Linked DNA regions of Rattus norvegicus. The protein of the gene in region 2 interacts with the protein of the main gene of each other region in a pairwise test. Links are inferred from orthologs where the notes say so. Each region holds a gene or a part of one and is shown on either strand. Other genes may lie near its edges.

Evidence for each region. The genes of interacting proteins can lie anywhere in the genome.
Region 1: the proteins of Ankrd13a (region 2) and Qdpr interact in a two-hybrid assay, tested with the Homo sapiens proteins (2 studies listed by BioGRID). The two-hybrid records come from large-scale screens. The link is inferred for Rattus norvegicus from reciprocal best matches to the Homo sapiens genes ANKRD13A and QDPR.

The regions. Positions count from the first base shown.
Region 1 is NC_086032.1:69,881,288-69,885,575, reverse strand, and holds the start of Qdpr (dihydropteridine reductase), read right to left. Parts: upstream 2,801-4,288; 5' UTR 2,751-2,800; coding exon 2,655-2,750; intron 300-2,654; coding exon 207-299; intron 1-206. UniProt on the Homo sapiens protein: Catalyzes the conversion of quinonoid dihydrobiopterin into tetrahydrobiopterin.
Region 2 is NC_086030.1:47,485,657-47,489,955, forward strand, and holds the start of Ankrd13a (ankyrin repeat domain-containing protein 13A), read right to left. Parts: upstream 2,801-4,299; coding exon 2,705-2,800; intron 1-2,704. UniProt on the Homo sapiens protein: Ubiquitin-binding protein that specifically recognizes and binds 'Lys-63'-linked ubiquitin. Does not bind 'Lys-48'-linked ubiquitin.

The DNA of each region.
Region 1 (4,288 bases), on a different chromosome or scaffold from region 2:
TTCCTCTAGAGGATTTTAGAATTGGCAGACAAAGAACAAAGCCAGGGGAACCCTCCCTGGGCTTCTCCTGTCACAGTGAGGGACCTTTGAGAATTACCTGGTCAAGGGTTGGGGATTTAGCTCAGTGGTAGAGCGCTTGCCTAGCAAGCGCAAGACCCTGGGTTCGGTCCCCAGCTCCGAAGAAAAAAAAAAAAAAAGAGAATTACCTGGTCAGCCTGCTCCGTGAATGAATCTGTCATCTTAACAATCACGCTGGCACTGGCCTCTTCATTCTCCACCACATCAATGCTGGCAACCCACTGAAGCAAGAAAAACAGCTTTGGTCAAGAGTTGGTGGGTTGTGACTTCTCAAAGGAACAACCCCCAGAAATAGAAGCAAAGAAAAGGTGAAGAGGCTTAAACTGAAATACATGAAATGTTTCCAGTTTCCAGTTTCCAGTTTGGGATTCCGAAATATTTGTATATGCTTATCGTGGGGATGAGACTAAACTCTAAACACAAAATCCACATGTTTAATACACTCTATATACTCAGTCTAAAAGTAATTTTACATAGTACTTTTAATAATTTTGAACATGCAACAGGCTTCATGGCCTAAAACTTCCCATCTGGGGAATCAAATAGCCCTTTAAAAGTTCAGGGTTTAGAAACATTTCAGATCTTTGGATCATTACCAAATACTAAGTAAAAACCCACTAGAGAAAGGTAATAACAACCAGACATCCTTCAGGGACCACTGACTGCAGTTGGTCCACCATCTACCTCAGCACATCCCAGCCTGTTCTCTGAACAACCTTCTTCCCCTTTCCTGGTGGATTCTGAGGGCCAAACCTTACATGTATCTCAAGACACCTGAGGTCACTCTGTGGTGATCTCTGCCACCAATACTTAAACCTGCTAACACAAGAGACAGCTAAAAACAATATGGAGTTGGAGGGACAGGGATGGGCCATCCTGAAAATGACAGATGCTGGAACAGAAACTATACGCTCTTTTTGTGTTATAAAACCATTTCAGAATGTAAAACCCTTTGCAATTCACAGCTCTTGGGTTCATAGAGATGACAGTTGTCCGGGTGTCCTATGGAAGACCCCCCCTCCCTTCAGCAGAGGCAGATGAGCCTTCCGTGTGGATGTCCGACTCGGGTATCAATGCTGGCTCTGCCATAAAGTGACAATCTCCTCCACCACAGAAATTGAGGGACTGATTAACGGGGTCAGTAAGAACAAAATGACATGAAGGATGCCCACTCCTTCAGAAACCTCCTGCTCCTTCAGACTGAAGACCCAGATGTCAGTATCTACCTTTAGGAGCAATTACAGCCTCACTCAGCACTCATTACTTGTATACCCCAAACTATGGGGAATAATACAAAGCCGGCTCCACCCAGCCCTCCCTAGGGTGCCAGGAAGAAGATGGAACAGAATCCCTGGTAAATTAGTATATCCCACTCAATACAGAGGCCAAGGAGGATCAATGTTTATTGGCTGGTTCCTTGGCTCACGCTCAGCTTCTTTCTTAGGCAGCCAAGGTTCAACCTTCCTCACCACCTATACTGGGCTAAGTCCTCCCATATCAAGCATCCATCAAGACAAGCTCTCACAGATAGGGCCACAGGCAAATGGACCCGTGCAATTCATCAGCTGAGGGTCCCTCTTTCAGGGTGACTCCAGATTGTCAATGTGACAATAAAAGGCAACCAGTACAAGAGGATCAATGAAGTTGAGTCAGGGAGAGCTGATATAAAGAGTGCAGGGCTCAGTGGAGGTAGACACACCCCACCCCTTCAGTGCTCCCTTTGTCTCCACTCTCTGAGGTCGCAGATTGTGAAGACATCCCAGTCTTCCAAGATTCTAAACAGGTAGTGGTATTATTCTTGTACCACACTTAAGCCAGAACAAAATCCCGTGTCCCTCTCTGCAAAGGGGATCCTTTGCCCAGGCTGCTGCTTTCTGCTAACTAAACTCTCAGGAAGGTGCTCCAAACTCCAGGGCTGACTCTAGAAATATCCTATGCTGAGCCATTCTGATCCCTGCTAAGAGGCTGGAGCCAACATCAGCCTTGCACTCACTTGCCACCGTCTGGAAGTGGACACACGACTAGACAAAGTTGAATTATCCTTTACTAAGCAAAGATGTCAGCAGCTGAGGGGCTGAGCGTTCGACTACCAGTTCCAACAAGGCTAATAATACTGCCTGCAACACAGGCTGCAGTGTCGGTAACACCTAGCACTTAAACGGCGTTTACCTATTATCTCATTTATTCATTACGATTGGCCCAAGAATAAACAGGAACATAATCATTTTATTTTACAAGGAAACTGAGGCTAGCCGGCATTAAGTAACCAATTCAAGGTCAGTAGGCTAGTAACTTAGGGCAGCCCAATTCCAGAGTCTTCATTTTGCCTTTCCCCTCCCAGTTCGCTCACACTGCTCCTCTTCCCTCCCAAGTCACGCTGGACCTTCTGGGCCTGGAAGAGGCCTAAGGAGCACCTACATCCCACGCTCTTCACAGGGCGAAGGCCAGGCACCTGTGGCCCAGAGCAGACCGGTGCGTGCGCATGCAGCCTAGTCATGGGTGCACATGGCCGACAGTCCCGGATCTCCCCGCTCTCCTAGAGTCTGCCGCTTGCAGCGGCCGTCTCGCAATATTACCCAGTTGCGGGCCCGGAAGGCCTGTACGCAGCGCGAGCCCAGAGCACCCCTGCCGCCGTACACCAGCACTCGGCGCGCCTCGCCCGAAGCCGCCATCCTGCTCCTGACAAGACTCCCGCGGAACTGATCGCCAAACCCAAAAGCACTCCCTTGCTCGCCGATACCCAGTGAGGAACTCAGGAAGGTTGCCCAGAACACCCGCCCCTGCCTGTGCCCCGCCCCCAAAGCTCCGCCCCAAGGCGGAGTCGGAGCCATCACAGAGCTACGCCTCCTGATTCGGCCAATAGAAGCGCGAAAGCTGAAGTGCGTGACCCCGACTGTGCCCCCGCCAGCCCACCCCGCCCTAAGTAAGATAACAGTAAACCACGCCTTCCTTCAGTGAACTTGTGCAAGCTAAGCGGCTGAGACGCACGCTCTCTGCTGTGCCCTGCCCACCTGCCCCGCCTTCACCGCTCTGGAGCCAATAAAAGTGTAGCAACTTAGGCGCGTGCTCTAAACTGTGCCTGTCCACCCGCCCCGCCCCCTCTTTTACCCAGTAGGCGTGCAGCACGCTCTCCACAGTGTCTTGAACCCCACCTAGGGTGTGCCCTCGGGCAATGAGAGCTTTTCCCCAGCGCCGCGCCCCAGCCAGAAGCTAGGGTTTATTAGAGCAGATGCTGCCGGGCTCGTTAGTGAAAATAATTACAGATGCAAACAGGCCACAATATTGTAACTCCCAGATAAGAGATGAACTTTGCCTGACCCCCATTGTCTAACAGCTGCGTAGTCTAAGCAACTTCTTCAATTGTTTTGTGCTGTGCCTCAGTTTCCTCGCAAATAAAATGTGAATAGGCTGTGCCTAGAGTTGGAGAAAAGAATTTTAAAGGTACAGTGAGTACTGCGCAGCTATCAATATTAGTCTTGTCAATCCTGGTTATTAAAGTTCACTGAGCATCTTAGAAGTCTGTTTCATTTGTTCAGAAGGAAAACAACTGTGTAAATGGGAACACGTTTATAAGTGAAAATCTGCCAATACAAATTTGGAGTGCTCTGTAATTTAAACATTTCCATTTCTGGAATTAATGACTTTAAAACAAAGAATGTGATCGGGAGTAACTACTAATATTTAAAATAGTATTAGTATATAGCACAACCGCCTTTGGTCTGGTAGGGGCACAAATTTAAGGATGTTTTAGGCCTGTCCTAAACTGCGTGCCTACTGGGCTATGGGTCCCTGGCTGCATGGGATCCCAAGCAAAGGATATTCTAGGTGTGTTGAGACCCACCAAATGATGACAGCCGTCCCCAGCAGATCCTGGTGATCCCCACCACTTGCGAGTTAACTAACTTCTGCTCATGAGCAAGGGATTTAACAACTGCAGTGCTGGTGTTTAGCATCAGATAATTTGAACTGAGACTACCTGTATGTTTATAGTATTCACAGCATCCCTGGTCTCGAACCCTAGAAGCCAGTAGCAACCCCCTGCCCTCTGTCATAAAGATGGAAATATCTCTAGCCAAGCCTGGTAGTACAAGCCTGAATCCCTGCTATGCCTGAGGCTGAGACAAGAGGACCACAAACTCAAGGCCTGGACAACAGACTGAATTCAAGGCCAGATTAGGTAACTTAATGAGACCCTGTTTCAAAATAAAAA
Region 2 (4,299 bases):
CACAAGTGCTACACCGTCAAGGGACCCATTGTGTTAAATTAGGACAGCCTCAAAACCGAGAGGACCAAAGAACCGGCAAGTACATGAGCATTCTCTCTCAGCCTTGAAGTCAAGGACAGCAATGACCTTAAGTTTTCTCCCATCGAATCTACAGCAAGACTTTTTAATTCCCAAACCCTGCCAAGCCTATGACCCCCAGGACAGGGGAGGCTGAGGAGGGAGACTACTGAGAGGGTTTGAGGCCAGCCGGGGCTACACAGATGACTTGCAGGCCACCTAGATTTACACGGCAACGCCGTCTCAAAACAAAAATAAAAGATTTTAGTTCCCAAACTTTAATTACAAATGCTCTTAAGGTCTGACATGGTCAAAACAGATCTTCCATGCCTTTATCACTTTTTTTTTCTTTTCAGGAAACGGTGACTCGGCCACTGCTGAGATCGTGACCAAGACCTGTCTCTTACTTTTGCAGACAGCTCTCCCTCCTCAGTGAGGAGAAAGCTGCTTTCAGAACTCCGGCCTGAAGTCCGAGGTGTGATAACGAATCTTTCTATCACATGGGATTTAATCTCGTGACATGACTCTCTGTACTTTCAACAGTGTGTGAGCTTCGAACCACTGTCCTCAGCAGAACGACCCGGAGCCCGGAACCCTTCCATGTTCTAACCCTGAGCTGTAGGTGCTTCAAGTCCTTTTCTGCATTTTTTATATTTTTATTTTGAGACAGAGTCACACTTGCCCAGACTGGCCTTGAACTTGTCATTCTCCTGCCCCGGCCTCCAGGACGGGGGCCACCACATCTAGTCAAAACTGGTTACTTCTTGAAGTGTCCGGAATGGGGCTTGTGGATGGGTGTAAGAGCTTAGATTCTAGAGAAGGCCTCTGAGCTGTGTGAGAGTTAGATCAGCAGGTATACTGGGATAGCAGGCAGTGAATCATCCTCTCTGGGGGCATGTGTCATATCTCTTTAAATCCTAAGTAGTTACCCTGTCATCTAATTAAGAACAATGACTCTTACAGAACCTTGCCCTGTCTGGACCCCACCCCCATCCCCCACATACCTGAGGATGAAACCCAGGGCCTCCCACACAACAGAAAAGTGTTCGGGCCCCACAGGCTGTCTCACCCTTTCTTATTTATTTTCAGACAGGCCCTCACCAAGTTGCCCAGGCTAGCCTCCAACTCCAGATCTTCCCGCTTCAACTTCCTGGGCGATTTGGGTTGCTGATGTACGCCGACATGCCCGCCATGGAATCCTTATTTTTAAAATGTGACTTTTGACTTCCCATGGTGCCCATCCAACTAAAAATACATATGGCAAGCTATAAACCAAGGCCGAGTAGAACTGTTCCAACAGCAGCAAGGCAATGTTTACCAATCAAAAGAACCAAGGGTTCGCAACAGTTACTAGTCAGCGGTAAGTCATTCAAAAGCAAGCCTCTGACACACAGGCTAACATGAATGAAGCCTACAGTAACAATTGTGGTGGATTTCGGGAGTAATTACAAATCCTTATCTCATTTGCTACAGGTTAGAGAGCAACCCAGACACCCCATACCTAATGAAATGACTGCAGCGCCCTTAATGCCAGGAGTCTCCATCCAGGTGGCTCAGCCTTCAGCAGGCCACTCCTCACCCAGGTTTGGGGCCAGCCTGGGCTACACAGTGAACTCCAGGCTAAGCAGGGGTTACACAGTGAGACCCTGTCTGCAGCAAAAACAGAGAAAAACCAAGAAACCCAAACAAACGAAATAATATAACACCAAGATTCTCAACCAAGGCTCTACTAACATTTGGAGTCCGGTAACACTCTGTTGCGGGTGGGTGGCTGCCTTTTACACTGTAGGGCACAGCGGGGTCCCTGGCCTCCACCCAACTCCATGCCAACAGTACCCACCTCTCATGTCACAACAGCCCCAAACTTCTCCTTGCACTGCCAAATATTCAGAACCGCTGATTTAGAAAGATGGCAATATTAAAAACAACAACAACAACAAAAATCCAAAGTACTTCAGAACAGGGGGGTCCTAAGGACTGAGCAGCAGAGACTCTCACACTTAAACCAACTACCCTGGGGAGCTCGTTAAAAGCACTGATTCCTAGGCCCCGTCCCAGCCCCATCAATTTAGACAGGGACTGGGCTTTCCGTCATCACTGCCTACACCCTTATCCTATGGGTAAGGAAAAGTGGGCCCCGGAACATAACTGCTTTGCCCAAGGTCACAGGAGTTAGAACCGGTCCACGGAACCCAACCAAGCTCTTCCCCAGCACCAGGGCGGGTGGAGTAAGGGGTGTGTGTGTGTGTGTGTGTGTGTGTGTGTGTGTCGCTCTTCCGTCTTCGAGTAAGGGGTGTGTGTGTGTGTGTGTGTGTGTGTGTGTGTGTGTGTGTGTGTGTGTGTCGCTCTTCCGTCTTCGAGGCCATAAAGCTTAAAGGTGAATTCCCGGGCCAGCCGGCCTGAGATAAAAGATCCCGACGTGGTTCTCATTAGCTCGGTGGCCTTGCGCCTTGCGCAAGGCAAGTAGGCTCTGGGGTCTCAATTTCCTTCCCGGTCAAGCGGAATACTAAGCACTCATTCCTAGTGATATCAGAAAGGGGAGAGTGGACCAAAAGCCCAAGGCACCGGGCCCGGTCTACGGTGAGCGCTTGATAGATCCCGGGACTCGGGAGTCGAACCGACTCTGACTCCGCGCCGCGCACCTCACCTGGTCCCGCAGCTCCTTCTCCAGCTGCCGGTAGTCGTTGTTCCAGACCAGAAGGTGCAGCGGGAAGCGGCTGCTGGTGTCGCGGGCCGAGGACATGGCGAGGAGGTCGCCACCCAGGCCTGACCGCCCGCCTGCCACCAACCTGGACCCACCCGACGGGGTCTCGGGGGCCCGCCCGACCGGACGGAGAGCGAGGGGAGGAGAGCGGCGAGCGGCCAAGTGCCGGGCGCAGCGGACGACAAGGGCCTCCGAGTCCGGAGCGGGCGGCGCGGGAGGCCCGGGGTCGCGGGCCGGGCTGGGGACCGGCTCGGGGACCCGCTCGGCCGCGCCCACCCCGCGCCCCGCGCGCTCGCGCCCGCGCTGACAGCTAGCGAACCGACTGCTGCCGGCCGAACCGCCCCGAACAGGGAAGTACGCGAGGCGTTCCATCACGCTCCGCGGAGGGGGACCTGACTTCCTGAACGGACCGAGTCCCGCTCCATGTCGCCCCACCAAGCCCCCACGCCTGGACACACGACCACCACCGTTCTGTGGAACTGCGGGACCCTTGGGAAGCCCGAGATCTCCACGCACAAAACCCACTGTGCGCGCCCTCCGACTCTCGTCCCCTGCCCGGCCTTCTCCAGTGGTGCGCTCCACAATCGGGCCTCTTCCATCGGCTCTGCCGCCCGGGGGTGCACGCGCAGGCCTGGACCAAACCATCGGACTGGAGCCTCCCTCAGCCGCCGCCTTCCGCGATTGGTCGGAAACCATTTTGGAAGTGGGCAGCGTGAAATCGTGTTCACAGGAGATCTGGACCCCGGATAAGTGACACCAGATACCCTCACTATCGGGGTAGTTGTGTCTCTGGGCTTTTAAACTTTGCAGTGTTTGAACTGGGGGGTTCTGTGCGCGGAGGTCATCCGATGCTTTGTAAGTTAGGGTGGACGCTCGCCTGTTCCATGCTGTCAGTACTCACACTATCCCCCAAACTGTCTCCAGACACGGGCAGTTTTTTCCCCTGGAGGAAGAAAACCGCCCTGTTGAAAACCGCTGTTCTGTCTGAATTTCCAACTCGGCTATAATTCAAAGTGCTTGCCGTGAAGGTTTATCCCGCATCAGCCTCACTAAGCTAACCACTCAGATTTAGGATTGTGGCCCAGAGGAGTATCCAGGTTGGTCCACAGTATGCACAAGTAAAATTCATCCTTTGGGTTGCGACTTCAGACACTGTGTCTTCTCGTCACAACGAAGAAACAAGTGCTGTCTCTGCCCAGGTGTTTACAGCTGCCACGAAGTCCTCCAGTGCAACCTGCAAAGCACCCCCTCTTCCTTATTGGCTCTATATACACAACCCATCTCTTCAGATGAGTGCGAAGGCTGTCCAAGAAAACTGACCACGTCCATTCTGCTCGGGTCTGGAGTCCTTGAAGAGTGAATGGAGCTAATACAGGATACAGTGACATAAAGACGGCACCTAGGGGCTGGAGAGATGGCTCAGAGGTTAAGAGCATTAACTGCTCTTCCAGAGGTCCGGAGTTCAATTCCCAGCAACTACATCGTGGCTCATGACCATTGGGATTCTATACCCTTTTTTCGTGTGAGCTGCAGCGTAC